Linked DNA regions of Callithrix jacchus. The main gene of each other region encodes a partner of the protein of the gene in region 2 in a complex. Links are inferred from orthologs where the notes say so. Each region holds a gene or a part of one and is shown on either strand. Other genes may lie near its edges. The genes, in order: RAB6A and GCC2.

What was found.
Region 1: the proteins of GCC2 (region 2) and RAB6A are in contact, whole or in part, in a crystal structure (PDB 3BBP), measured with the Homo sapiens proteins. The link is inferred for Callithrix jacchus from reciprocal best matches to the Homo sapiens genes GCC2 and RAB6A. Residues at the interface, in NP_852118.2 of Homo sapiens: Thr1585, Ile1588, Leu1589, Glu1591, Gln1592, Leu1595, Leu1596, Glu1599, Arg1602; in NP_942599.1 of Homo sapiens: Lys15, Ile46, Gly47, Ile48, Trp67, Arg74, Phe75, Ser77, Leu78, Ser81, Tyr82, Asp85.

The regions. Positions count from the first base shown.
Region 1 is NC_133511.1:67,205,859-67,221,392, reverse strand, and holds the start of RAB6A (ras-related protein Rab-6A), read right to left. Parts: upstream 7,776-15,534; 5' UTR 7,328-7,775; coding exon 7,258-7,327; intron 1-7,257. UniProt on the Homo sapiens protein: The small GTPases Rab are key regulators of intracellular membrane trafficking, from the formation of transport vesicles to their fusion with membranes.
Region 2 is NC_133515.1:20,671,974-20,687,396, forward strand, and holds the start of GCC2 (GRIP and coiled-coil domain-containing protein 2), read right to left. Parts: upstream 9,493-15,423; 5' UTR 9,426-9,492; coding exon 9,420-9,425; intron 9,055-9,419; exon of another isoform or gene 9,050-9,054; coding exon 8,993-9,049; intron 7,346-8,992; exon of another isoform or gene 7,302-7,345; coding exon 7,217-7,301; intron 6,182-7,216; exon of another isoform or gene 6,053-6,181; intron 5,550-6,052; coding exon 5,482-5,549; intron 1,666-5,481; exon of another isoform or gene 1,453-1,665; intron 1-1,452. UniProt on the Homo sapiens protein: Golgin which probably tethers transport vesicles to the trans-Golgi network (TGN) and regulates vesicular transport between the endosomes and the Golgi.

The DNA.
Region 1 (15,534 bases), on a different chromosome or scaffold from region 2:
CATGGTGAAACCCCATATCTACTAAATATACAAAAATTAGATGGGTGTGGTGGCAGGCGCCTGTAAAACCAGCTACTTGGGAGGCTGAGGCAGGAGAATCACTTGAACCCAGGACACAGAGGTTGCAGTGAGTCAATATTGTGGCACTACACCCCAGCCTGGGTGATAAAAGTGAAACTCTCAAAAAAAAGAAAAAAGCAGGGTAGAAAACAGGGTCACAGGAACATAAGTAAAATTTCTCATAGTATATATTCTTATATAATTTTGATTTATGAAATATGCAATTATATTACCCACTAAAAATGAAGGTAGAGAAAAATAAAGAGTGGCCCAGTTTAAAACCCTAAGACAAATGGATTAGATGATCTCTCAGTCTTCTCTAACTTTGGAATGCTCCAATTCAAGAATTTCAACTAAATAGGCTTAAACTATTAGTAAATGTCCCTTCCCTAAAACTCAATGTTTGCATTACTCCTACGTAGCTTTAAGTTCTACTTTTTTTTTTCTTTTTTTGAGATGCACACTCTGTCACCCAGGCTGGATGCAATGGAGTGATCTCGGCTCACTGTAACCTTCACATCCCGAGTTCAAGTGATTCTCCTGCCTCAGCCTCCCAAGTAGATGGGATTATACCATCATGCCCAGCTAATTTTTTATATTTTTAGTAGAGACAGGGTTTCACCATGTTGGCCAGAATGGTCTCCAATTCCTGACCTCAAGTGATTGGCCTGCCTCGGCCTCCCTAAGTGCTAGAATTACAGGTGTCAGCTACCGCACCCAGCCTTAGCTCTACTTTTAAAAGCAGCTGCACTCATCATACACTACAATATTTGGTATTGTATATTTCTTCCCTGACAAAATGAAAATTTCTTAAGAGTAGACACCAAACCACCTGACACTGTAGCAATTTTCAATAAACATTTGTTAAATTAAAATACTTACTGAGCACTTCTCATGTGCCTAGCACTCTTCTAAATGTTTTGCAATATTTGACTAGTTTAAACTTCACAATAACTCTACGATAGGTCTATTATCTTTATCTCATACATAAGAAAAATGGAACATAAAGAGATGTTGAGTAATCTGCCAAATGTTAGTAGCCACTGCTAAAACATGAAACCTATATTCACTTTCCATCTCTATTAGTCCTCTAGTGCTCTAAATCATTAACTCTACTGTTTAGTTTTAAGGCTTCAGAACAAGATATGAAAAATTGGCAACATGATAATAGGAGATACAATTGGCTTGATATTACCTAACCCAGCAGTTTACAAAGAGTGGTCCACTGACCCTTTGGGATCTTCCAATACCTTTCAGGAGGTCCACAAACTCCTGGATGTCAAAACCATTTTCATAATATTAAGATGTTATTTAAAGTAGCATGTTCTGAGGAAAATAAATAAATAACTTTTTCACTCTTATTCTCTTGCAGTGTATTATGGAGCTTCCCAGTGCCTATATGATGTGTACTATTACAGGATTGAATGCATAAGCAGCTATGAGAATCCAATTGTCTTCTATTAAGTCAGGTATTACAGAGATTGCAAATATGTAAAACAATGCCACTCTCACTAAATCTCTGTCTGGAAAATAGTTATTTTTCATTTCAAAAATGATGTTAATATGAAGGCTGGGCATGGTGGCTCATGCCTGTAATCCCAGTACTTTGGGAGGCCAAGGCAGGAAGGTCACTTGAGGCCAGGGGCTTGAGATCAGCCTGGCCAACACAACAAAACCCTGTCTCTACTAAAAAGACAAAAAATTAACCAGGCATTGCCTTTGCATCATCAAGAAAGATAGATTAAAAAAAAAAAAAGTAAAAATTAACCAGGCATGGTGCTGTGTGCCTGTGGTCCCAGCTACCCAGGAGGCTGAGGCATGAGAATCACTTGAACCTGGGAGGCACTCACTCCAGCATGGCAACAGAGGGAGACTGTCTATATATATATATATGTTAACATACAATGGGTTTATTACTATTATTTTATTTATTCATTCATTCATTCAAGACAGGGTTTCGCTCTTGTTGCCCAGGCTGGAATGCAAATGCACAATCTCAGCTTACTGAAATCTCTGCCTCCCAGGTTCAAGCGATACTCCTGCCTCAGCCTCCCAAGCAGCTGGTATTACAGGTGCCCACTACCACACCTGGCTAATTTTTTTGTATTTTCAGTAGAGAAGGGGTTTCACCATATTGGCTAGGCTGGTCTCAAACTCCTGGCCTCAAGTGATTTGCCTGCCTCAGCCTCCCAAAGTGTTGGGATTATAAGCGTGAGCCACTGCACTTAGCCCTATTATTTTTAATCTATTAAATATTTTTAAATTTTCTGTTTTCAGTACAGTAAATGTTCATATAAACTACATAAACAAAAGCCAGGCACAGTGGCATGTGCCTACAGTCCCAGCTACTAGGGAGTCTGAGGCAAGAGGAGAGCTTAAGACAAGGCTGCTGTGGGCCATGATCGCCCCTGTGAACAGTCACTGCATCCAAAGAGAAGGGGGAAGGAGGAAGAAAGAAGGAAGAGGAAAGGGGGAAGGAAGGGAGAAGGGGAAAGGGGAAGGCGGAGGGAAGGGAGAAGGAAGGGAAAAGGAAGAGGAAGAAGAGGAGGAAGTAGAAAAGAACAAGAGGAGGAGGAGTAGAAGGAAGAGGAGGAAGAGGAAGGGGAGGAGGAAGAAAGAAAGAGGAGGAAGAACAACAACTATATTAACAAGAGTTCGTTAGGATCCTCAAAAATGTGTAAGAGCAGAAAGAGGTCTTGGGGAAAAAAAGTTAAAAACCACCGATCTAGCCAATATAAAATGTTTAGTACTGGCCGGGTGTGGTGGCTCACACCTATAATCCTAGCATTTTGGGAGGCTAAGGTGGGAGGATCTCTCCAGCTCAAGAGTTTGAGACCAGCCTGGGCAACATGGTAAAACCCCATCTCCACAAAACCGTACAAGATTAGCCTGTAGTCCAGGCTACTTGGGAGGCTCACTTGAGCCTGGGAGGCAGAGGGTGCAGTGAGCCAAGATGGCACCACTGCACTCCAGCCTGAGTGACAGAGCCAGATCCTGTCTCAAAAGAAAAACAACTGGTCAGTACTGCTGGTCTCTAACAGTAAGATATCTTTTCCTTATCTAACATATTGCAATTTGATCAGAATTGATGTGAGGAAAAAAAGGCAATATACAGGGTAAAAAGCAGTAGCAGGATTAACATACACTTCTCTCTGCCATTACATCTCCTAATTTATAATTAGTAACATATATATATATATATATATATATATATAATATTTTCTACTGTAAACCACTGAGTGCCATTACTAAAAGTGCCTCTGCATCTCAAGACAATAGCCAGAGGTCATAACACAAGAGACTTCTCAAGGAAACTTAGTTGTGTATTTCAACATTCTTTTATTCATTTATTTATGAGACAGAGTCTCATAAATAAATGTTGAAATATTCAACAGTAAGAGAGTGTCTCACTCTGAGGCCCAAGCTGAAGTGCAGTGGGGAGATCTTGGCTCACTGCAACCTCCACCTTCCAGATTCAAGCTATTCCGAATGCCCGGCTGAACATTCCTTTATTAAACTGTAAGAATTTATCCAAGGTTAAAGCCAGGCACAGTGGCTCAAGCCTGTAATCCCAACAGTTTGGGAGGCCGAGGTGGGTGGATCATGAGGTCAAGAGATTGAGACCATCCTGGTCAACATGGTGAAACCCCGTCTCTACTAAAAATACAAAAAATTAGCTGGGCATGGTGGCACGTGCCTGTAATCCCAGCTACTCGGGAGGCTGAGGCAGGAGAATTGCCTGAACCCAGGAGGTGGAGGTTGCGGTGAGGCTATATCGCGCCATTGCACTCCAGCCTGGGTAACAAGAGCAAAACTCCATCTCAAGAAAAAAAAAAAAAAGAATTTACCCAGGTTAAGATTGATGTCATTAATCCAATCTGCTTCATGTACTGACACAATTCATTTTCATTACAGAGCACAGTATCTTAAATACACACACACACACACACCCCCCTATATACATATATATATTTTAGAGACGGGATTTCACCATGTTGGCCAGGCTGGTCTTGAATTCCTGGCCTCAGATGATCCATCCACCTTGGCCTCCCAAAGTGCTGGAATTACAGCTGTCAGCCACCGTGCCCACCCTAGCATCTTAGATTTTTGATAAGCCAAATAAAACCTAACTTCAGATCAGTTCCATGAGTACATGAGCACATCATTATACATGAGCATATAATTTGAATACTTTTTATGTGTTATATTAACAGCAAATAATTTAACAACAACTTTAACAAAGGAAGGCTAATTTTGCTCAACTCAAAAAAAAAGTACAAAATTCAGGTCAGTCCTATTTTTCAAATGGGCCCCTAAATGATTGGTTTCTCCACTCTCTTAAGTATCTGATATATTTCCCTATACAATCAAATGATGTAAGTTTTAAGTGTTGTAAAATTATCAGTTGTATAAGGAAAAAATGTGAACTTCAACATGGCAAAAACTGTAATACAGGCTACCAGCTTTGGTTATTATTAGATTCAGCCATCATTCATTCACCCAACATGTCTGAGCAACTACTATGAGCCTGGTACTATGCTAGGTAATGAGGATACAATGAACAAAAAAGGTAATAGTTTTTATCTTCATGGGATTTGCATTCTTTTGTGGGAAATAAACACCCAAAAAATCAGATAACTATAAATGTGGCAAATGCTATTAAGGAACAAAACAAGGCTTTGCCACAGATTATAGCCTTTGAAAGCTGGATTGTGGAATTCTAACAGACCTAAAAATAAACAATTCATGAAGAGTTACATCAAAACAACATGAAGTCTACAGACCTCTACTAACACATAAGAAAACTATAGACACTGACACCATGAAAACAGAGATCAATCTTTCATTGTCAAAGCTACTGAATGGCATTACTTGGCAATATAGTAACCTCAAAAGATAATTAACTTCATATCATGAATTGAATGCTGAAACAGAAAAAGTACATTGGGTTAAAACTAAAAATCTGAATAAACTATGAACTTAAGTTAATAATAACATACCAATATTAATTCATTAATTGTAACAAATGTGCCATACTAATGCAAGATGTTAATAAGAGGGGAAACTAGATGTGTGGGTATATGGGAACTCTGCGCAATCTTTTCAATTTTTCTGTAAGTCTAAAACTGTTCAAAAAAATAAAGTCTATTACAAAAAAATCTAACCAAGCTTTAGTAATGGAGGGGGAAGAGTAGTAGAGGCTTAAACAAGGTAAGAAATCAGAAGCCATAAAACTCTTCATTATGAATTAGAACATATACAAATAAGAAATTCAAAGGAAACCTGAAGATAGGAAATTAAGCTCTCCATTCATGCTAAAATCTTTTTAGACAGGGAGATTAATGGGTTTTTCATGCAAACTAAACAGCTGCGCATCACAACATTAAGGAAGACAATAATATCCCTAGAATGCACAATAAGCACTTTGGATCCTTTTTATCAATAATGACCAAAAAACTCTATCTTTGAGAAGTATCCTGAAGTTGACATATAATAGCTGGACCAGAATCAACTCCATAGGTTCTACCAAGTTACTCACCTAAAGACACAAGTTTATACTTACTCCAGGAAAATATATAAGCAAAACGGAGGGAGATTGGATTTTTTTCCCAAAAGGGAGGAGGGGAGGATAATCTACATATAAAAGAAGAAAAATTATTTCCTAGTTCTAACTGGAGGCAATTTTTCGAGAGTATTAACCTGTCATGGCATACGAATTAGAATAAGTAGTTCAAAGTAGTAATAAAATCTATGAATTTATATCACTTACATGCTTTCCAGTCGAAACAAATAACTAATGTTTTCTATAACCTCACCTAAACACATAGTAGGAATTCAATGTTTGATGACTCAGAACTAATCTCTCAATGTCTGAATTTTAAAGATGATCATGAAAAGTGTGAGAAAAACAAAGAAGGGTAATCATCTCTAAATTGTCGAGTGTCAAGTTTGCATACTACAGCAGAAAACTGGAATTACTACACGAAGTAATCGTAGAAATAACAATCACAAAATTAGAATCCTGTATCTAATACAAAAGTACAGTGATAACATAACCTGACCAGGTAAATGACATAACAATTTCACTCATCAGACAGTACGAAATATTAAGCATAAAAGAATCATTTAGCCCAAATCGTATGTAAATCGAATTCAGATAACTAGATGATGAGTCTATTCCTACTGTACTCCATTTTCCAAAGGAAATCCGAGAAAACAAAGATGTTTGTTATTCCAAGTCTTCTCTCTCATGAATCCTCAATATATTTATCATTGGAAAATACTCAAGAAGAAATGAATAATTAACATTTCCCCAGTAATTCCCATTTGTACCACCATGAGACTCAAACGCTGCTTCACGTTGAAACGAGAAAAAGGGGAGGTGAGATGAGAAAAATTCCAAGTAAAATGATCATGACATAGCATCTGGCAGAGACTGAAAAATCAACACTGCCAAAAGAATTGTCAGTGATGAAAGTCAAGAAAACAAAATGAGGTTTTCCGACAAGCCACAGCCCAATGTAACCTAAGGGGCAAAAATCTCTTCTGCCGACACTACCCCTTTCACCCCCAACTACCCCATGCTCAAGTCGCCTCCAATTCAGATGTTTTCCTCCAGACTAATTTCCCACTAAGGTGAAAACCATGTAATATTTTTTTTCTACGACCACCCCCCTTCCCACCTTCCACGACATCAGTACTTCTCAGAGCCAAGCCTCTGGGGAAAACAACGCCCAGATCCCACCCTCCTTGGCCAAGGTTGAAGAGGGCCCGCTCTCAGGAGTGGAGCTTCCCTGAATGGGCCTCACAGAGCCGAGGAACTGGGAAAAGGGCAAAGAATAAGGGTGGGGCTCAAGAAAGAAGGCCGGGGTAGGGGAGACGGCGGAGACCGGAGGAAGAAAGGGATGGACAAGAGGCTGGGCGGGGTGAGGGCTGCGGAGGGAGGGCAGATCGACCGGAGATGGCCGGCCTGCGGAGAACGGAGACGATCGAAGAGCCCGGGGAAGAGGGTAAAAACTCGACCGACGGATCCAGGCGGAGGGCTGATGGCACCGGCGGGCACTTCGGGAAGGGCTGCGGTGGCAACGAGCGCGGACGCGAGGCGAGCAGGAAGCCTCCGCGGACGGAAGGGCCGCACCGGGGGCGGTGCGGGGACGCTGCGGCCAGCTGCCAGGAGTGGGGGAGCCACGCACTCACCGCTTTGCTCCCCCAGGAACACCAGCTTGAATTTCCTCAGTGGATTCCCGAAGTCTCCTCCTGCGGACATGGTGGAACCAGAGGAGCTGCCGCCGCCTCAGCCCAGAGACCTCCCGGACCGACGATGCTCCAACCCGCTGACGAAAAAGGCGAGCGGAAGGGCGGGCGCCGAGATCTCTCGGCCCCTGCAGGGCCCGACGGAGGAGCAGGGCTGGAGGGCAGCAGGACTCTCCACAGACTGGCAGCCGCCGCCTCCCCGCAGAGTCGCCTAGCACTGAGCGAGGCCCGCGGCTGGGAAGGGAAGGAGGGCGGTGTCAGCAGGAGCCAGGGGTGTGCTCTGGCTTCCCAAGGCTAGGGCCGTTCCCTCCTTCAGCACCCGGCTCCGAGACCTGGGTGAGAGTGGCGGAAGGTGGCGGAGCCGGAACCGCAGACGTGTCTGGGACCTCTCACGCGCAGCACCTCAGCTTCCACAGCTGCCGCCGCCGCCGCAGCCCAACCTGCTGAGTGCGCGAGCCTCTGGCGCGGCGCGGGGCGAGCCCGGGCGCGAGCCTGCTGCCCCGCCGGCCGCTGGCGTGCGTGCGTGCGTGCGTGCGTGCGTGCGTGCGCGCGCGCCACCGCCACCGCCATCGCCATCGCCATCGCCTTCCTGGTTTCGACGCCTTCCTCCCGTGAGGCGGCGGCGGGGCAGGTTAGGTTTCCACTCGCATCAGAAGCCAGGAGGAGGCGGGGCAAACCAGGGATAAGTTAGCGGGTAGATGAAGCCCTTACGTCACTTACATATTAAGCCAATCGGAAGGGGCTGAGGGCGGGCCGACACGCGAGTGAGGTGCGGCATGAGAGCGCGCGCAGCCCTCGAGAAATGGAAAGCGGAGCACGGTGGCGGCCATACGAAGTGTGGCACTTCTCAGCCAGAGGAGAGGGAAAAAGAAGTGAGTGAAGGGGAGGGGAAGAGATGGGGCGGAAGCGAAAGAAAGGTGAGGCTGAGGCGGGGCCGGGACTAAGGTGGAATGATACCTCAAAAAGTGTGAGTGGGTCCTATAGCCATAAGATTTGTAATAGGAGCCTCTTTCCCGAACCCTCAGCCGGCCCCACAGTCCTCAGATCTGTCCTTCACCCCTGCACACACCCCACCTTCTCCACCTTATCATAATTCCTCACACGGCATCGTACTAAATAACATTCTTTTCCATTGCTTCCAGGAATTTTATAACTGTCAGAATCAGGGCCTCCCAATTTTGCAGATGAGGAAACCAAAGCCTAGAGGTAGAAAATGACTTGCAAAATCCATAAAGCTGCCTGGCGCGATGGCTCACGCCTGTAATCCCAGCATTTTGGGAGGCCGAGGCGATAGAATTGCTTGAGCCCAGGAATTCGAGACCAGGCTGGGGAACGAAGCAAAACACTATCTCTACAAAAAATAAAATAATTAGCCGAATGTCGTGGTGCACGCCTGTAGTTCCAGCTACTCAGGAAGCTGAGGCAGAAGGATTGCTTGAGTCCAGGATTTGGAGTCTGTAGTATGTGACCACTACACTGAAATCTGGGCTACAGAACAAGTCCCTGTCTTAAAAAAAAAAAAAAAAAAAAAAAAAAAAAAAAAAAATTGCCAAGTGAAGAAAAAAAAAGTCCTTACATTTGTATATAGTATCTTATATAATTCACAAAAACATTTATGTACATTTTCTCATTACTGGGTAGTTATTTGCTTAGCTGTAGAAATGACAGGATCAAAAAAGTGCCTTCTCAGACCCAAGGATGAATTGCTGACCTAGAATAAATCACGGGGAGGAACTGAAGTTCTTAAAATATCATCTGTTCTAGCCTATCAAGACAACAGCTCTATCCTCAAACACTCACTATCAAAATTTACTCCCTTCTGTTTCCTCTGCCAGACACGTGCAGGTAGAATATGCATCTAAAGAAAAATGGTAAAAACCTAACTTGTGGCATGGACATTTGATTTTACAAGCAGTTTGTCAGGTCTAATAGAGTCCTCTTCACCATTAATCCAGACCCTGGCACATACAAAGAACAGTTTAAACAAAGAAACTTTTTAAAAAGCTTATGCAAACAAAAGTGAGTAGCTATTTTCCTTCTGATGGGTACCAAGCTTTCATTATGTTTCCTGAAATAGACTTTAAAGTAACATCTGAGGATTGGAACTATAATTACTTTGTACTTCCTACAGAACTTTATGAATCAGTCCTCCCTGCTGCTTAGGTCTCTGTAGTCACCTAGACAGGTGGTACTATTCCCTGTCATTTTGAAGGCCATATGGTATAGTCCACCTCTTACCTAAAATATTTTAATGTTTTAAGCTTTCATTTTGCATTGACACATATACAGTCTCATTAGACTCTGAAGCTGCCTTCATATTTATCACGCACTCCTTGTAAGTTTTGTCTTCAGAGACTTTATGGCCTAACCATTGCATATTAAGTGCTATAAGGTATAGCAAATGGAAAAATTACCTAAGAGAAAGAGGAATTTTCAGACAGAGAAGGGCCTAAGGAAAAAAAAAAGAGAGAGGAATTAGAGAGGTCCTTTTCAAGAGAATTTTCACCTTCATGATTTCCTACACTCGCTTCTCTTTACCACAAACACTCTTCCCTTCCCTTCCCCACTCTTCCCCAATTCCTACTTATCCTTCAGTTTAAAGAAATCGTCTTTTTTTTTTAGCCAGGCATGGTGGCTCACGCCTGTAATCCCAGCACTTTGGAAGTCAAGGCAGGTGGATCACAAGGTCAGAAGCTCAAGACCATCCTGGCCAATGTGGTGAAACTCCAACTCTACTAAAAATACAATAGTTAGCCGAGTATGGCAGTGTGTGCCTATAATCCCAGCTACTCGGAAGGCTGAGGCAATAGAATCACTTGAACCTGGGAGGTGGAGGTTGCAGTGAGCCAAGATCACACCACTGCACTCCAGCCTGGCAACAGAGTGAGACTCCCTCTCAAAACAAAAAAATTGTCTTTTTTTTCTTTTAAATCACTTACCACTTAAAGAAGTTGTCTTTATCCATTCTGGCTGCTATAACAGAATACCATTACTGGTTGGCTTAAACAGCAAACACTTATTTCTCTCAGCTGGAGACAGGAAAGTTCAAGAGCAAGGTGCCAGAGGATACGGTGTCTGGTGAAGGCCCACTTCCTGGTTCATAGACAACCATCTTCTCACTGTGTCCTCACATGGCAGAAAGAGATCAAGAAAGCTCTCTGGGGTCCCTCTTACAAGGGAACTAATCCCATTTATGAGTGCTCCACCCTCATGACCTAATCACCTCCCTAAGGCCCCACCTACTAATACCATCACATTGGAGACTATGGTTTCAACATATGAATTTTAGGGAGACACAAACATTCAGTCTACGCTACAAGTCTTGCTCCCATCTGCTCACATCCCCACTGACAGTATAAGTACCTTTGCCTGTCCTATTGTACCCTATTCTTAATTGTTCATTGTCAGTTGTCCCTCCTTGACTGTAAGCTCCATGAGGTCAGATCTCATCTTGTATCCCCAGTGCTTGAATAGTGCTTACTACATAGTTAGCATGCAGCAGATGTTTGCTGAAAAAATAAAAGAGGAATTATTTTTCACTCTCTTGGAAGGATAAATGGGATTTGGGCATGCAGAGAAGGAAGTTAAGAGCATTTTGAGGGCCGGGCGCGGTGACTCAAGCCTGTAATCCCAGCACTTTGGGAGGCCGAGGCAGGTGGATCACGAGGTCAAGAGATCGAGACCATCCTGGTCAACAAGGTGAAACCCCGTCTCTACTAAAAATAAAAAAATTACCTGGGCATTGTGGTGCGCGCCTGTAGTCCCAGCTACTCAGGAGGCTGAGGCAGGAGAATTGCTTGAACCCGGAAGGCAGAGGTTGCGGTGAGCCGAGATCGTGACATAGCACTCCAGTCTGGGTAACAACAGTGAAACTCCGTCTCAAAAAAAAAGCATTTTGGAAAAAGAGAGCATCACCCAAAAATATGTAATTTGGTACTTCATTCCTAAAACATTATTTATGAAAAAGATGGCCAGAACAGATCTTGTAACTAAAAATTAGGAACAATGGGAGAGGACAGGCTTCACAGCTCCAAATTCAAAGTACCTAAAGCAGCTTTCATTATCAATTTAAAGGTGATATCTAAATTGAAGCCCATGACTGTGTAGGAAATGTATCACATAGAAATTATAATAAAATTGTAGCTTATCTTCTGCCCTGAGCAACACAAAGCTTCTTAAAGAAGGACTGAAATTTCTTTCTTAATTTTTTTTGGAGATAGAGTCCTACTCTGTTGTCCAGGCTGGAGTACAGTGGGATGATCTTGGCTCACTACAACCTCTACCTCCTGGGTTCAAGAGATTCTGCTGCCTCTGCCTCCTGAGTAGCTGGGATTAAAGAAATGTGCCACCATGTCTGGCTAATTTTTGTATTTTTAGAAGAGACAGGGTTTCACCATGTTGGCCAGGCTGGTCTCAAACTCCTGACCTCAAGTGATCCGCCTGCCTTTGCTTCCCAAAGTTCTAAAATTACAGACATGAGCCACTGCTTCCAGCCAATTTCATCTTATTCTTAGTGACAGACACTATTGGTTGCATATCCAGCAATGTACACACAACACACACACATACTTCTACCATATATACTAGAGATAACAGATATGTTTCCAGCCTTCCTTCAGCTAAGGTATAGGTACATGAGTCCATCTGAGCCAGTGGGAGATGAAGGAAATGTGTTAGAGGCTTTTTTCTTCTAAGAGAAGAAATAAAGAGAAATATATTTTCTTCCTTGATGAAAAGGAATGAGAAAAAGACTGCCATTTTTCTGCCATTGATGTGGCTATGTAAGGAAATGATATTTAGAACTAAGATAGCTCTTCTAAACATTAATATATAATTCTAAAGAAAAAAGCCAATCCATTGATGATGGCTAAGCAGGAAGCTAAAAGACATCATTGAGCCACTGTACCAACCCTGGAACTGGCCTTCTTCTAGATTTCTTTTTACTAACATAATAAATGTCTTTATATTTAATAATGCCTTTATGTGTCTTTGTATTTCTTTGTTACTACTTGCAGCTGAAAGCAGCTGACATTCTCATCTTTAGATCCCTTAAAATACCTTGCATAGTTGCTTGAATATTAGGCACTCAATATTGTATGTGTATATATAAAGTAGTAGTTAGCAAACTGGAATTGCCTTTTTCTGTTTACTACTCCCTAAAAAGGGATTTATTATGTTGGAGAGGCAGGAAATCAATAGGAGAAAAACTGTCCAGGTAAAAGGACTGAAACCATACTGCTCACATTTGAAACAAATAATAGCTCTGGCAGGAATTCACATTCCATCAAATGGAATCCCTTCTAACCCACACTGCAGGTTATTATAATCATTGCTACTAAAAATAATAGTGGGTCAATATACAAAGCATAAAAGTGACAATTCACGGTGACCAATTAAATGAGTACAATTAACACAAGGTATATTGAATTAAGTCTCTTTTTTTTTTTTTTTTTTGAGTCAGAGTCTCGCTCTGTCACCCAGGCTGGAGTCCAGTGTTGCAATCTCAGCTCACTGCAACCTCTGCATCCCAGGTTCAAGTAATTCTCCTGCCTCAGCCTCCTGAGTAGCTAGGATTACAGGTGTACACCACCAGGTCTGGCCAATTTTTGTATTTTTACTAGAGATGGGTTTTCACCATGTTAGCCAGGCTAGTCTTGAACGCCTGACCTCGTGATCCACCTGCCTCAAACTCCCAAAGTGCTGGGATTACAGGCATGAGCCACAATGCCCAGCCCATAAGTCTCATTTTTAAAAGACCACAAGAAAAAAGGGGGAAGGAGTCATGTTAAAACCTGTTTTCCAAATACTTTGACCTATAAGGACATGCCATTCAAGAATAAAAATTAGTCTGTCAAAGTGGAGAAGGTGGTAGAACTTAAATGGAATGGTCCTTTCTGTAATTACAGCCAATTAATAGCTAAGTCAGAAGATATTTTTGCTACAGATTGATCTACCGAATCTATTTTTGATAATTCCATTTTGTTCTGTTCATGTGAATCATGGTCCCCGTTATGAATAATGTGATTTCTCAGAGCCTTGTAAGTGTGGTGTTACTTCCAGGCTTTGAAATTGCAGTGGGGGAAGAACTTGCTTCTTTTTATGCTAGTCCAGGATGTATAAAATCTGACACATTGCTGGAGCTCTCCTCTCCCCACACTCTATCCCCCACAAATAATAAAGTCTCCTCCAAGATGTTCCAGAGAATGAATCACTCCACCTGCTACTAAAGTGATAATCACTCAGAGAAGAAGAGAACAACTGCCTCTACTGCTGTTTATATAAAGAACAGAGCATCTTAGGATAGAAAAGTGAGACCAACACTGTTTGCACTGAAATACCAACAGAATGCATAGCCAAACTGTAACTTGCCAAAGAAGCCAAGAGAAACTATCTTTCTGCAAATATTTCTTCAGCTTTTCAATTAACAAAAAGTGACTAGGACTTTATTTTATATAAAATTAAAGATATCAAAATAATTATAGAAATTGTCGCTCAAAATATCCAGTGAGATAATAAGCCCCGACATCATCTCACTGGATATTTTGGGAAAACAAACTCACTTCCAGTTTTAGGAAGCTAGATTAAAGATGTTCTGTCTTCCCTTTCTGAAATCATTCCAAAATGAGAATAAAGAAATTAAAATGCAAACTCTGTCTTTGACATCTCTAACCCAGAGCCATAACATTTTAAGATGGGAGACAAAGATAGGGCAATGGTATCTGACTAAACAAAACATATAAAGTGCTTACTGAAGGATGAAGTCACAAGAAGCAAGCCAATCAGCTAAGAAGAACTGCAGAAATTCTGCTCAGGAATGTGAAATATCAAGTACCACATAAGGTAGGGATAAAGCAAGGACAAAAACGAGGGAATTGTATTAATGACTGTATAGACAACAGATTTAAACCCATCCCTTTCTGGGCTGGGCACAGTGGCTCACGCCTGTAATCCTAGCACTTTGGGAGGCTTTGGGAGGCTGAGGTGGATGGATCATGAGGTCAGAAGTTTGAGACCTGCCTGGCCAATATGTGAAACACTGTCTCTACTAAAAATACAAAAATTAGCCTGGCGTGATGGCATGTGCCTGTAGTCCCAACTACTTGGGAGGCTGAGGCAGAAGAATTTGGAACCCAGGAGGTGGAGGTTGCAGTGAGCCAAGATTGCACCATATCACTCCAGCCTGGGCAACAGAGCGAGACTTCATCTCAAAAAAATATTAAAAAAGTAAGCTGTGAAGAGAAATAAATGCTAGAAAGTTAGGTAGAAAACCAGGAGAGGGAGTGGTGACAAGAAAGACAAGGGAAGAGAATGTTTCAAAAGGAAAGGCTTAGTCAGTGGAGTCAGATACATCAGAGCAGTCAAAAAAGTCAAAGACTAAAAAGCATCCTACTGTCAAAGGTGAGTGACTGCAAATGGGGACAAAGAATCTTTTTAGGGTGATAGAAATGTTCTAAAAATTATACTATGTTGATGATTACACAATTCTGCACATTAACTAAAAATTGCTGAACTGTATGCTTAAAATGAATGACTTTTGTGGAATGTAATACCTCAAAAGAGGGTTATTCCTCTTTTTTTTTTTTTTTGAGACAAAGTTTTTTGCTCTTGTTGCCCAGGCTGTAGTGTAATGGCATGGTCTCAGCTCATTGCAACCTCTGCCTCCCGGGTTCAAGAAAGTCTCCTGCCTCAGCCTCCCAAATACCTGGGATTACAGACACCTGCCACCATGCCCAGCTAATTTTTGTATTTTAAGTAGAGATGGGGTTTCACCATGTTGGCCAGGCTGGTCTAGAACTTCTGACCTCAGGTGATCTGCCCACCTCAGCCTCCTAAAATGCTGGGATTACAGGCATAAGCCACCTTGCACGGCTCTTTTTTTGTGTGTGTGACAGGGTGTCACTCTGGATCCCTAGGCTGGAGTGCAGTAGCATGATCTCAGCTCACTACAACCTTGACCTCCCAGGCTCAGGTGATTCTCCCACCTCGGCCTCCTGAGTAGCTGGAACTACAGGTATGAGCCACCACACCTGGCTAATTTTCTGTATTTTCAGTAGAGACAGGGTTTTGCTACATTGTCCAGGCTGGTCTTGAATTCCTGTACTCAAGCAATCCTCCTGCCTCTGCCTCCCAGTGTATGGGGATTACAGGAGTAAGCCACTGCACTGGGCCAAAACAGTAGTTTCAAGAGGGTTATTGGTGGCCTGGGTCTGAAAAGTTTCA
Region 2 (15,423 bases):
AAAATAGTAGCAAACTGAATCGAATCTAAAAGCACACTGAAAAGATAATACACCATGATCAAGCAGATTTATTCCATGGATGCAAGGATTGTTGAATACATGCAAATCAATATGACATATCACATCAACAGAATAAAGGGTAAAAGGCATATGGTCATCTTAATAGAAGCAGAAAAAGGAATTCATAAAATTCAATATCCTTTCAGGAAAAAACTCTGAGCAAGCTAGGCACTGAAGAATTATATCTCAAAATAATAAAGGCCACATATGACAAACTCGTATTAACATCATACATAATGGAGAAAAGCTGAAAATCTTTCCTCAAAGAACAGAAACAAGACAAAGATATCCACTTTCACCACTACTATTCAACATGGTACTGACAGTCCTAGCCAGAACCATCAGGCCAGAGAAAGAAATAAAAGGCATCCAAACTGGAAAAATGGAAGTTAAATTGTCCCTCTCTACAGATTACAAAAGACTATCAAAAAACCTCTTAGAGCTGATAAACAAATTCAGTAAAGTTGCCAGATACAAACTCAACATACAAAAACCAGTAGCATTTCTATATACCAACAATAAAATAGCTAAAACAGGAAATCAAGAAGACAACCCCTTTCACAGTAGCTAAAAAAAAAAAAAAAAAAAGCAAAAACCAAAGTGAAAGGTCTCTATAATAAAAACTACAGAAACACAGGAAAAAAAAAATGAAGAGGCAATAAGTAAGTGGGAAGACATTTCATGCTCATAGATTACAAGAATTGACATTGTCAAAATGACCATACTACCCAAAGTAATTGACAGTTCAATGAAATCTCTATTAAAATGCCAATACCATTTTTCACAGAAATAGAAAAAAGAATCTTAATATTTATATGAAACCAAACATAAGCCAGAACAGCTGAAGTAATTGAGTTAAAAAATAAACAAAGCTGGAGGCATCACACTACTTGACTTCAAAACATATTACAAGGCTATAGTAACCAAAATAACAAAGTATTGGTGTAAAAACAAGCATACAGATCAATGGAACAAAACAGAGAACTCAAAAATAAATCCAGGTATTTACAGAAAGCTTATCTTTGACAAAGCCATTAAGAACACACACTGGGCAAAGGCACAAATGGTGCCAGGAAAACTAGATAACTATGTGCAAAGAATGAAAGTGGGTCCGTATCTCTCATCATATACAAATATCAACTAAAAAAATAAAGACTTAAATATAAGACCCACAAAGGTATAAAACTAGTAGAAGAAAACAAAGGGCAAACTCATCAAGACATTGGTCTAGGCAAAGATTTTATGGCCAAGATCTCAAAAGCCCAGGCAACAAAAACAAAAAACAGATAAATAGGACTATGTTAAACTAGAAAGCTTCTTAATATATATATTTTTAGATAAGGGCTCCCTCTGTCAATCAGGCTGCAGTACAGTAGTGTGATCATGGCTTACGGCAGCTCAACCTCCTGGGATCCCATTGTCTTGTCGTAGTGTCCCAAGAAGCTGGGACTACAGGCGCGCTCCACGATGTCTGGCTAATTTTTATAGTTTTTCTCATAGACGGATCTTGCTATGTTTCTCAGCCTGGTCGCAAACTGCCGGGCTCAAGTGATCCTCCTGCCATGGATTCCCTTAATGCTGGGATTACAGGCTAAAGAGCTTCTTCTGCATAGTGAAAGAAACAATCAATAGCGTGAAGATAGCCTCTTAAATGGGACAAATATTTGCAATCTACTCATCCAACATGGGACTAATATCCAGAATATACAAGGAACTCAAACAACTCAACATTAAAAAATAAAGAATCCCGGGCCGGGCGCGGTGGCTCAAGCCTGTAATCCCAGCACTTTGGGAGGCCGAGGCGGGTGGATCACGAGGTCAAGATATCGAGACCATCCTGGTCAACGTGGTGAAACCCCGTCTCTACTAAAAATACAAAAAATTAGCTGGGCATGGTGGCACATGCCTGTAATCCCAGCTACTCGGGAGGCTGAGGCAGGAGAATTGCCTGAACCCAGGAGGCGGAGGTTGCGGTGAGCCGAGATCGCGCCATTGCACTCCAGCCTGGGTAACAAGAGCGAAACTCCGTCTCAAAAAAAAAAAATAAAATAAAATAAAGAATCCCATTAAAAAATGGGCAAAGGACATGACTAGACATCTCTCAAAAGACACAGAAATGGCCAAGTATATGATAAAATACTCAATATCATTAATCATCAGGGATATGCAAATCAAAATCACAATGAGGTATCATCTTACTCCAGATGGAATGGCCATTAGGAAGAAAAAAAGTAACAGACATTGGTGGTGATGTGGAGGAGAGAGAACTCTTCTACACTGTTGGTAGAAGTGCAGTTAAGTATTAGCCACTGTGGAAAACATTTTCGAATTTCTCAAAAAACTAAAAATAGAGCTACCCTACAAATCTAGAAACCCCAATACTGGGCAGTTACCAAAAAGAGATCAATATAACAAAGGAATATATGCACTCCTATGTTTATTGCAGCACTATTCACAATAGCAAAGAAATGAAATCAACCTAAGTGCCCATCAAAGGATGAATGGATAAAGAAAATGTGCTATATATATATATACAATGGAATACTGTATGGCCATAAAAAAGAGTGAGATGTCATTTCCAGCAATACGGATGGAGCTGGAGGTCATTATGTCGAGTAAAATAAGTAAGGCAGAGAAAGGTATTTTTCAAAATAGCCAGAAGACCTTAAATGTACCCAACACATATATATGGTAAATACTTGGGTGATGGATACTAAATACTGACTTGATGATTATACATTCTTCGCATTTAACAAAATTTCACATGTACCCAACAATTATGTACAAATATAATGTATCAAGAAAACAAAGGAAAAGAAAAAAAAAACCTTAAAGGTAAAGTTGGCTAACTTGGAGAAATTTTCTTTTTTTGTGTGTGTGTGAGACAAAGTCTCACTCTGTTGCCCAGACTGTAGTGAAGTAGCATAATCCTGGCTCACTGCAACCTCCGTCTCCCAGGTTCAAGCAATTCTCCTGCCTCAGCCTCCTCAGTAGCTGGGGCTACAGGTACACGCCGCCACCATGCCCAGCTAATTTTTTGTATTTTTAGTAGAGACAGGTTTTACCAAGTTGGCCAGGTTGATCTCCAATTCCTGACCTCAGGTGATCCATCCACCTCGGCCTCCCAAAGTACTGAGATTACAGGCATGAGCCACAGTGCCTGACTGAAATTTTCTAATCTTGTCTTTAGGGGTAGTTTTGACAGTGGGAGAATGCATTGATAAGGATTAAGGAGGAAAACAGCAGGTAGATATTTAAATGTTCTTATTCTGAAATGCAGTTCTGTAACAAGTATCCAGAGTTAATGGATAAAAAATTAGAAAACACTCTGATTCTTTTTAAAAGAAAAGGCCCCTTTTCCGAGTGTGTGTCCTTGCCTACGTTGGTGTTTATAAAAATATCCCCCAGGCCGGGCACAGTGGCCTATACCTGTAATCCCAGCACTTTGGGAGGCTAAGGCGGGTGGATCAACTGAGGTCAGGAGTTCAAAACCAGCCTGGCCAACATGGCGAAACATCGTCTCTATTAAAAATACAAAAATTAGCCAGGCATGGTGGCAGGCACCTTTAATCCCAGCTATTCAGGAGGCTGAGGCAGGAGAATCACTTGAATTCAGGAGGCAGAAGTTGCAGTGAGCAGAGATCATACCACTGCACTCCAGCCTGGGTGAAAGAGAGAGACCCTGTCTCAAAAAAATTAAAAAAAAAGACCCCCAGAAATAACACATGGTAATGATAATAACAATTATTGGGCACTTATATGGCCAACCCAGTTCTATGTGCTGTAACCTTATCAATCCTATATTTGTACCTCAATCCTACAAACAGAAAGTATTATCATCTGTATTCTACAGATGACAAAACTGAACCATAGAGAAAGAATTTATGAAACTTAGTCACGGTCAGATAGCTGGTCAGTGGAGGGACAAGGATTTGAAAGCCTGACTCAGGCAGTCTGGGTGAAATTGGCCTTCTTCTTTAATTACCATATAGTTGTAATGTGGCTGTCATGGATTAAGAAAACATGTAATGACCAAATAATCGAATAAGACTACTCTGAATTCAATAATACTTAATTGAAACAGTACACTATAAACTGAAATGGCATTTGTGCCATAAAATGATACTGTGTGACATGCATATGGATTTAAAGACCCCGTGTAATAACTCTCTGGTAGTCACTCTGTAGTCCACTGATTACAAGTTGGGAGCCGCTGATGAGAAAATAAGATAATATATAACCAAAGGATATAAGGCCAAAGCAGTGAAAACAATATTGCAGAGCTCCAAGATGCAAAAGAAACTTTATGGAGGCTTGGCCTAAGAGGGGTAATGAAAAAGCATTTGTTACCAGTAAGGGAATGGAAGTAAGAATAAGCAAGTCAGGTTTTTTTTTTTTGAGACAGTCTTATGCTGCTGCCTAGGTTGGAGTGCAAGTGCAAGGGGGAATCTCAACTCACTGTAACCTCTGCCTCTGGGTTCAAGCAATCCTTGTTCCTCAGCCTCCTGAGTAGCTGGGATTTCAGGCGTGGGCCATCATACCCAGCTAAACTTTGTGTTTTTAAGAGACAAGGTGTCACCATGTTGGCCAGACTGATATCAAACTCCTGACCTCAAGTGATCCTCCCACCTTGGCCTCCCAAAGTGCTGGGATTACAGATGTGGGCCACTGCGCCTGGCCTGCAACTCAGGTTTTTAAACAGGGAATAAAAAGAGTATTTTGTTATCTGGCAAGATTATGTAAGACTAAAAGAGAAAGAGAGCCCAGTTAGGCTTTTAGTAAAATAGGTGAAGTGTTTGATGTGTTTAACATAAAGCCAAACAGAGAGAAAACAGAGAAACTGGAACAATATTTTAAAGCAGTAATAGGTCTCTGGTGACTGATACATATAGAGGAGAAAGAAAATAGACAAAAAGTGTCTCTAAAGTCAAAACTTACAAAACCCCATGGTGCCACTGGTCTAACTAAGCAATTTGGTTATGTTGAGTTTGATGAGATATGTGAAATGTGTGAGGAATTTATTCTCTAGGCAGCTAGAAACACAACTGTGAGATCTGGGTCAGTAGTTGTAGTCATGTCCAGGGATATGGATCTAACTATAGATTATTATATACAATACACATAAAATCACTGAAATCCTGAGCATGGCCAGGTTTTCTCAGGGGGATAGGGAAGAACAGACAGAGAATGAAGTAACAACCATAATTAGAAAATATGTGGGAAGAACAAATAATAATTTCAGAACAGAAAGAGACCTAGAGGTCATTAACCCACTCTTTTTACAGTAAATCAGATAGGTAAAAACAACCAAGGCAGAGAGGAAGTGGAAGAACATGGACAGAAAGCCAGATAGCCTCCAGTAGGCTGACAATCTTCATGGAAATTTTTTCTCTGTAGACATTTTCTCTAAGTAATAATTACCTTAATAATATCATCAGTTCCTTGAGTAACAGGTTTTGATTTGAGTTCTTCAATTTCTTTCTCCAATTCTAAACAATTAAAAAATAAAGGACTCCAGTTCAGAAATAAAGAAAATAATTACTGAGAAACTGATTAAGTACATTCTTATAAAATCCCAGACATCTGCAAATTAGAATAAATTTAAGCAGATATTTTGAAAAAGTATTTTCACCCACATAATATTATTTTTTTCTTTTCTTTTCTGGAAAACTTCAAACAAATAGAAAAGTACAGAGAATAGTATGATTAATCTCTGTGTACTCACCACTATGCTTTAGCATTATTACACGGCCAATTTTGTTTCCTCCCAACCTGTAACTCACTTCCTCCTTCACTGCTTTTCTTATCCATCCTGATAATTTTCAAGCATACCCCAGACATCATATTATTTCATGTAAGTACATCTTAATATATAACCTTAAAGCAACAATCCCGTATTAAGAATAAACGTTACTGAGAACAGCCTGGCCAACATGGTGAAACTTTGTCTCTACTAAAAATACAAAAATTAGCCAGGCATGGTGGCGGGCACCTGTAATCCCAGCTACTCGGGAAGACTTGGGAGGCTGAGGCAGAAGAATCACTTGAATCTGGGAGGGGGAGGATGCAGTGAGCCTAGATTGCGCCACTGCACTCTAGCCTCGGCGGTAAGAGCGAGACTCTGTCTCAAAAAAAAAAAAAAAAAGAATAAATGTTAATCTAAGTGTTTTATTAGCACATGTACAGATGTCAGGCCTAGAACTTCTTTCCAAATAAATTACTCTCTCTTCCTCACAAGGTGATCCAAACTCCCAAGACATAATATTATCTTTTCTAATAGAAAATAAGTCTTTGCTTTTAGGCTAAGCAGTTAACATTTGTAAGTCATTGGAAATTCAAGAGTTCATGTATACATACTAAAAAAAAAGATACTAAAATCTTTTTCTTCTGGAATAAAAAGAAAACTGAGACAGCCCCGGTGGCTCCCACCTGCAATCCTAGCACTTTGCGAGGCCAAGGCGGGTGAATTGCCTGAGTTCAGGAGTTCGAGACCAGCCTGGGCAACACATGAAACCCCAACTATACTAAAACACAAAAGAATAAGCTGGGCGTGGTGGCATGTGCCTGTAATCCAAGTTACTCCGGAGGCTGAGGCAGGAGAATTGTTTCAACCTGGGAAGCAAGGGTTGCAGTAAGCTGAGATCGCGTCACTGCAATCCAGCCTGGGCAACAGAGCTAGGCTCCATCTCTTCAAAAAAAAAAAAGAAAGAAAAGAAAAAGAAAACCGAATAGGAAATCAATCAACCAATGTCTGCAAATGGAAATCTTTTATTATTTTAGTTGAGGAAGCCTTTTATCTCTTTGGGGTTCTAATCTTGTGTCTCTTTTTTCAACTGACTTCTCTTGAAAAAAAGTTTTACTCAGAAGAATCTAAAGTCTACAGGAAGGAAAAACACGCTTAACTTACAAAAACTTTTAAAATCCTCCTCCCTGACTTTATTTTAATAACACAAAAGTCACTGTGGTTTACAGATGTGGGAATAACTTAAAACTCAGAGGTAAATAGTTACAACGTTAAATAACAGATTCTACTACACTAAGATATATTTGAATCACTGGAAAACAAACAAAAAAGTCAATGCATTATTTTAAAAACCACCATTTTAAACCACAATTAAAGAGACTGTGATCAAGATGAGTATTTTCAACCCAATACCTGTACACCTTGATTTAGCTTTCTGTATTAGCATCATCTGCTTCTTGGCAAACTTGATGAGATCTTCTTTGGGCAATGTTTCCAGCTGAAAGATGTGGTCGTGTTACCAACTTGTTATAACTCATGTTCCTAGTACACCACAAAAAAGAAACATAATGTCTGCCAGAAAACAAAAACATTCTACTGAATAAATCTTTACGCCAACAACATACTTTGTTCCACATTTTTTGTTTGTTTGTTTGTTTTTTTGAGACGGGGTTTCGCTCTTGTTACCCAGGCTGGAGTGCGGTGGCGCGATCTCGGCTCACCGCAACCTCCGCCTCCTGGGTTCAGGCAATTCTTCTGCCTCAGCCTCCTGAGTAGCTGGGATTACAGGCACGTACCACCATGCCCAGCTAATTTTTTGTATTTTTAATAGAGACGGGGTTTCACCACGTTGACCAGGATGGTCTCCATCAGTTGACCTCGTGATCCACCCGCCCTGGCCTCTCAAAGTGCTGGGATTACAGGCGTGAGCCACCGCGCCCGGCCTGTTCCACATTTTTTTTTTTTGAGACGGATGTACTCTATTTCCCAGGCTGGAGTGCAATACACGATCTTGGTTCACGGCAACCTCCGCCTCCCAGGTGCAAGCGATTCTCCTGCCTCAGCCTCCCGAATAGCTGGGATTACAGGCCCTACTACCAGGCCCAGCTAATTTTTGTATTTTTAGTAGAGATGGGGGTTTCACCATGTTGGCCAGGCTGGTCTTGAACTCCTGACCTCAGGTGATCCACCCGTCTCAGCCTCCCAAAGTGCCGAGATTACAGGTTTAAGCCATGGCTCCCGGTCACATTTTTTAAAATTAGCAAATGCAATTGCAAGTACATAATTGCCAAGCAACTACTAAAAATGTAAAAATTAGTTATGCAACTACTATGAAATGTAAAAACCAGGGCATATCCTCTTAGAGCTAATGTTACAGGTTGACATTTGCTAGGTTTTGATTTCTTTAACTGTAAAATTAGTGGGTTAGAACTAATGCTACTTAAAATTCCTTGGAGCTGTAAAATAATTTCATGCTATTCGAGGCTGAAAGTCTTTGGTCACAAGAAAATTTCAGCATAATTACAGCATCAAGATGATCCAGTAACATTCAGCCTTTAATTAAAAAATTAAGCTTTACCACTTGAGAAAATAGCTTAAGTCTTGTGGTCTCAGGGTTTCTCATTTGTAAAGTGAGGGTAACAACAGTACCTATCTCATGGTTATCATGAAGGCTTAAATGCACTGAGTGGTTAGGCAAGTGCCTGAAATTCAGCATGCAGACGATAAACCTTAGCAATAAACCACTATCGTTCAGAATGATTGAATGTTAAACATTGTACAGGGCCATAAAACAGGACTAATTCAACTCTTTTTCACAATGTAGAAACTGGAGCCTACAGATCAGAATCCCTTGATTCCTATTCTACGTCACTGCTCCTTCTACTACATCATCACTATATAAACCTTCTTAAATTAGACAGCTTTGTTTAATGTCCGAAAAATCGCAGGATCTTTCAGCAGTACTAACCAGGAGCAGGAAGTAAACAAAAAGTCTTCTTATATCAAGGCACAGAGGGGAAAAAGAAAGAAACAGGAAATGGACGGGTGACTGCGTAAATTAAAATTGAGATCCCTTACAGCAAGGCTATTTTTTTTTAAAATAGCCCCCTCCCTCCGCCCGCCAAAGTTTTCCAATTCATCACCCTTCCACACTCTTCAGGGAGTCCTCTAGTCAAGTATTCTCTTCACCTTAGATTTTCCGGTCCCAGGGGTAGCTGGTGAAGCCACCCCATCTTGAACAGGATCCTGCAAAACAAAATCAAACCCAGGTGTCAGAAGAACTCTTTTCCTAATTCCAGACGGAAAGCGTGGTAAGGTTTCCACGCTTTCCGTCTGGAATTAGGAAAAACCCTCTGTGCAATCAAGTGGGGGAAAGCCTTGTGAGACAGAGAATGAGGGGGGACAGAGGCGATCGCTGTGGGAAATCGTATACAAACCGGCTCTAAGGGGACAGGTAACCGCCAGGGATGGAGTTTAGGGAAGATGGGGAGGCGAAGGCAGCGCGGATTTCCGGGCACCGAGCGGGAGACTGCCGCGCCGTTCCACCGGGCCCACCCCCAAATCCCAAATCGCCGCGCAGAAGGCTTGATGGGAGGCAGTGGGCCCGAACTGTTACCTCCATCTCCGCCTGCCAGCCGCGGCCCCAGAACCAGCAGCCGCCACCGCCACACTTGTTTGCGCCCGACTCTGACGTAGGCTCGACTGCAGGTCAAAGGTCGCGCTCTCCGGTCGGCCCGCCCCCCATGTCTCCATAACTACGGCTCGGCAGCAGTTCCGCTTCCGCCTCTGGGTCCGGGAGAAGGTTCCCCTCCGGGCGCTAGCCGAGGGCGGAGTCCTTGTCGACATTCCACCTGCGTCTAGACCCTGTCTGGGCCTGCGGGTCAGGGAGTAGGTGTGGGTCACGCCACTACCTTTTATTAGCATGGGAACGCAGGCCGATTACCCCTTGGGGCCTCGGGCCTCAGTTTCCACGTCTGTAAAATCTTGTGAGAGTCAGGAGAACATTCGATTGGAGGACAGCTCCTTCAGCGCCCCCCTCCAAGGGTAGCTGCTGGCCTGCCAGTGCTTGCGGGACCCACAGCTGCTTCCGGGGGGCTGCTTAAGCATTTGTGGCTAGCATGTTGCCCGGGAGCGCCCCGACTCACAGGTCAGAGTTGGGGGGCTTCCCTGAGGAGGTATTTATTGGCTCTGGATGCCTTGAGGAGGTCCTGGGACAGCTCTTCCCTGCAGCTACCCGGTACTGATGGTGACCTGGTGGAGGCAAGATAGTCGGCCAGGGAACAGGGAAGCCAAGCGAGGAGACTCTGCCCCGAGGGCACGCCGAAGAATCTGTAGTCGAATCCCAGGGCTGCTGCTGTGTCCTGATTGGCGGTCCAGAGCTCTGAGGGCCTTTCTGTGAACTGCTGAAATGGTTTACTGCACTTTTACCTTCCCATTAAGGTTTTCCATATACTCCAATAGCTAAGGTCACCTGAAGATAACCCAGTTTCCTGTAGTTTGAAATGGCCAAACGGATGAAGAGGCAGCATACAGTACTTATCCAATAAATGGTAGCTGATTATTACTAGGTAAAGGAAGTGTTATATAACCAAACGAGAAAGCACAGCTATTGCTGACATTTCGCTAACATCTACTCTTTGTCTTTGACAGTGTATCACCCATGGTGTTTGACTGTCTTTGGTTCAGGGGTGGTATGTGACCTAAGATGTACAGTCAGAAGTTTTGAAACTTCTGTTTAGTATTTTGGTTTAGTGATAATTCTGTCTCTGTGGATGTGATTGAGGAAACATACAGCCCTGATTGCTGTTGGTAGACATCTGCCCCTATGGTAGAAAGCAGCCTGAAGACAAAATTGTTAAGAAGAAAAAGGGCCAGGCACAGTGGCTCACGCCTGTAATCCCAACACTTTGGGAGGCCAAGGAGGGCGGATCACGAGGTCAGGGGATCCAGACCATCCTGGCCAACACGGTGAAACCATGTCTCTACTAAAAATACAAAAAAAGTAGCTGGGTGTGGTGGTGAACGCCTGTAGTCCCAGCTACTCGGGAGGCTGAGGCAGGAGAATTGCTTGAACCCAGGAGGCGGAGGCAGTGAGCCAAGATGCCGCCACTGCACTGCAGCCTGGGCAACAGCGAGAGACTGTCTCAAAACAAAGCAAAAAAAAAAAAGGAAAAATGCAGAGCCCAGACATCCCCAGAGGAATGAAGCTGGAGCTCTGATCAATTATCAGTGAGTCAGTAAAGTCCCTTTAAGTGATCCAGTTAACACTGGGTTTTGCTGTTACTTGTAAGAGTGTACACATCTTTTGGGAGGAAGAGTTATCCAACTTGAAGAAAAAAATATCTCTCTGTAATGAGATGACTAGAGAAAATGTTCATAATTCTGGACACTGTGCAATGGTATAAAATGGGCAACTTTGATACTAGAGTAGAAAAATTACCTCAGACAACATTTTAGAAGAAAAGATCTAAGAGCCACCAAAATTTTATGGCAGCACTTGCTATTAAAGAAGCATTCTTCTTGAAATCTGTCAAAAGACTGGGTGCGGTGGCTCACGCCTATAATCCCAGCACTTAGGGAGGCCAAGGTGGGCAGATCACTTGAGGTCAGGAGTTCGAAATCAGCCTGGCCAACATGGCGAAACTGTGTCTCTACTAAAAATGCAAAATTAGCCTGGCATGGTGGTGCATTCCTGTAGTCCCAGCTACTTGGGAGGCTGAGGCAGGAGAATTCACTTGAACCCAGGAGGTGGAGGTTGCAGTGAGCTGAGACTGCGGCACTGCACTCCAGCCTGGGTGACAGAGTGAGAGTCCATCTCAAAAAAAAAAAAAAAAAAAAACTGGCACAAGACAAGAAAAGAATGCCCTCTCTCAGTACTCCTATTCAACATGGTATTGGAGGTTCTGGTCACAGCAGTCAGGCAAGAGAAGTAAATAAAGGGCATTCAAATAGGAAGAGAGAAAACTTCTTGTTTGCAGATGCCATGATCCTATATCTAGAAAACAGATATAGGATATAGAAAATCCTATACATAGGATATAGAAAATCTATAGATATAGCCCAAAAGCTTCTTAAGCTGATAAGCAACCAGAGCAGTCTCATGATACAAAATCAATATGCAAAAATTGCTAGCATTCCTATACATTGACAACAGTCAAGCTGAGAGCCAAATCACAAACTCATTCACAATTGCCTCAAAAAGAATAAAGTGCCTAGGAATACAGCTAACAAGGGAAGGGAAAGAGCTCTACAAGGAGAACTACCACTGCTCGAAGAAATCAGAGACGACACAAACAAATGAAAAAATATCCCATGTTCATGGATAGGAAGAATTAATACCATTGAAATGACCATACTGCCCAAAGCAATTTATAGATTCAATGCTATTTCTATGAAACTACCATTTACATTCTTCACATAATTAGAGAAAGATATTTTAAAATACATATGGAACGAAAAAAGAGCCCAAATAGCCAATGCAATCCTAAGCAAAAAGATTAAAGCTGGAAGCATCATGCTACCTGACTTCAAACTATACTGCAGGGCTACAGTAACCAATATAGCATGGCACCGGTACAAGAGCAGACACATTGACCAATGGAACAGAAATAAGACCATATACCTACAACTATCTGATCTTCAACATACCTGATGAAAACAAGCAATGGGGAAAGGATTTCCTAGTCAATAAATGGTGGTGGGATAACTGGCTAGCCATAGGCAGAAGATTGAACTGGACCCCTTTCTTACACTATGTAAAAAAACTAACTCAAGATGAATTAAAGACTTAAATGTAAAACCCAAAACTATAGAAATCCTGGAAGACCACCTAGGCAGTACTATTCAGGATATAGGAATGGGCAAAGATTTGACGACAAAGACGCCAAAAACAATTGCAAGGTGAAAAGCAAACATTGACAAATGAGATCCAATTAAGAGCTTCTATATAGCAGAAGAAACTATCAACAGAGTAAACAGACAACCTACAGAATGGGAGAAAATTTTTGCAAACTATGCATCTGACAAAGGTCTAATATCCAGCATCTATAACAAACTTAAACAAATTTACATGATAAAAACAACCTATTCAAAAGTGGGCAAGACATGAAAAGACACTTCTCAAAACAAGACAGACATATGTCCAACAAACCTGAAAAAAAAGCTCAACATCATTGATCATTAGAGAAATGCAAATCAAAATCACAGTGAGATACTATCCAGGTAGAATGACCATTATTAAGTAAAAAAATAACAGATGCTGGCAAGGTTGTGGAGAAAAAGGAATGCTTATATACTATTGATGGTAGTTCAACCATTATGGAAGACAGTGTGGTGATTCTTCAAAGATATAAAAACAAATGCCATTTGACCAGCAATCCCATTACTGGGTACATACCCAAAGGAAAAGGAATTGTCCTGTCATAAAGACATGCATAAAGACATACATGCACATGTATGTTCATTGCAGCACTATTCAGAATTGCAAAGACATGGAATCAACCTAAATGCCCATCAATGATAGACTGGATAAAGAAAATGGTGTACATACACACCATTGAATACTATGCAGCTATTAAAAGAAACAAGATCTTGTTCTTTGTGGGGACATGAATGAAGCTGGAGGCCATTATCCTCAGCAAACTAATGCAAGAACAGAAAACCAATACCACATGTTCTCAATTATAAGCGGGAGCTAAATGATGAGAACAAATTGACATATAGAGGGGAACAACACACAGTGGGCCTAATGGAGGGGTTCGAGGGTGGGAGGAGGGAGAGGATCAGGAAAAATAACTAATGAATACTAGGCTTAATACCTGAGTGATGAAGTAATTAGTACAGCTGCCATGACATATACTTACCTATGTAACCTGCATATGCTCCTGAACTTAATTAAGAAGAGTGGATAAATGATTTCCACAGATAGTATTGTTAAAACTCAAGACTTTGAGCAGCGTAAGAGGAAAAGAGGGATTTCTACATCAAGTATGATATATTGCGTTTTATATAGCAGGCATTCCATGAATATTTAATTGAACCAATTAATGTATTAAAGGATCAAGGAACAAAACTTAAGATCACTAGTTAATTTTTCCCCAGGTTTTGAGTAAGCTTAAAGCTGAAACTTCAGGGTAATTGTTCTATCTGGTGATACAAATGATGTTATAGCATTTTTTTCCTTTCTGGTATGGAATCCAGTCTGGGATCAGGTATTACATTTGTCTTGTCTCTTCAGGCTCCTTTTTCTGGAGCACTTACACAGTTTTTCTTGGTCTTTTAAAAAATTAACATTTTCAAAACTGTAGTTTTCCCCATCTTTTATTTTTTCAATTAACATGTAGTAGAATGGATTTTCCTTTAGCATACAGTTCCTTGAATTTTAATACACTTAGAAACATGTACCCATCAGCACAATCAAGTTTCAGAAAAGCTCTACTTTCTCCCTGACTCCCTCATACTAGTCTGTTATAGCCACATTCTCCTTCCATCCCCAATTCCTGGCAACCATGAACTGTTTTTTTTATCACTATACTTTTGTCCTTTCATGAATATAATGTAAATGGAAATAAACAGTATGAACCTTTTGAGACCAGCTTCTTCCACTCAGCATATTGCCTTTGAAATTTATCCAAATTGCTGCATTTATCGATAATTTGTTCCTTTTTATTGCTAAGTAATATTCATGGTATGGATGTATGACAATTTGTTTGTCCATTCACCAACATTTTGATTTGTTTTCAGTTTTGGGTGATTATGAATAGAGCTACTATAAACATTAATGTACAGGTTTTTGCAGAAATGTAAGTTTTTGTTTCTCTGTGGTAAATATCTAGGAGTAGGATTTTCTGGACTCTACAGTAAGAATGTGTTTAACCTTTTTCTTCTTTCTTTTTTCCTTGTTTTTTTGAGACAAGGCCTCACTCTTTCACCCAGGCTGAAGTGCAGTGGTGTGATCATGGCTCACTGCAGCCTTGAACTCCTAGGCTCAAGAGATCTTCCCATCTCAGCCTCCTAAGTAGCTGGGGCTACAGGCACATGCCACTATGCCTGGCTAATTTTTTATTTTTGTAGACATGAGGTCTTACTATGTTGCTCAGGCTGGTTTGAACTTCTGGCCCTCAAGCAATCCTTCTACCTTGGCCTCCAAAGTGCTGGGATTACAGTCATAAGCCACTGTACCCAGCCATATTTAACTTTTTAAGAAACTGCCAAACTGTTCACCCTGATTATTACCCGGGATAACACCAAGAGATGATCTTTTTCTGGGGATGGCTGCATTTAGTGACCAACTGCTTGAGCAAGGGGCACAAAAAAACCACAAGATGACAAAGACAATCAAAAACCTTTCTGGGCTGGGGGCAGTGGCTCATGCCTGTAATCCCAGCACTTTGAGAAGCTGAGGCAAGTGGATTGCCTGAGCCCAGAAGTTTGAGACAAGCCTGGACAACGTGGCAAGACCCCATCTCAAAAAAAAAAAAAAACTTTCTGATTTTGTTTTAATGGAGGCTTTTTGAATGCTTAACAATATTAGATACCTTTGGATGGGAAACAGCATTGAATACCTTGGCTATCAAACCATTGCTGAATAACTGTTGCAATAAAATTTTTGTACCATGGTA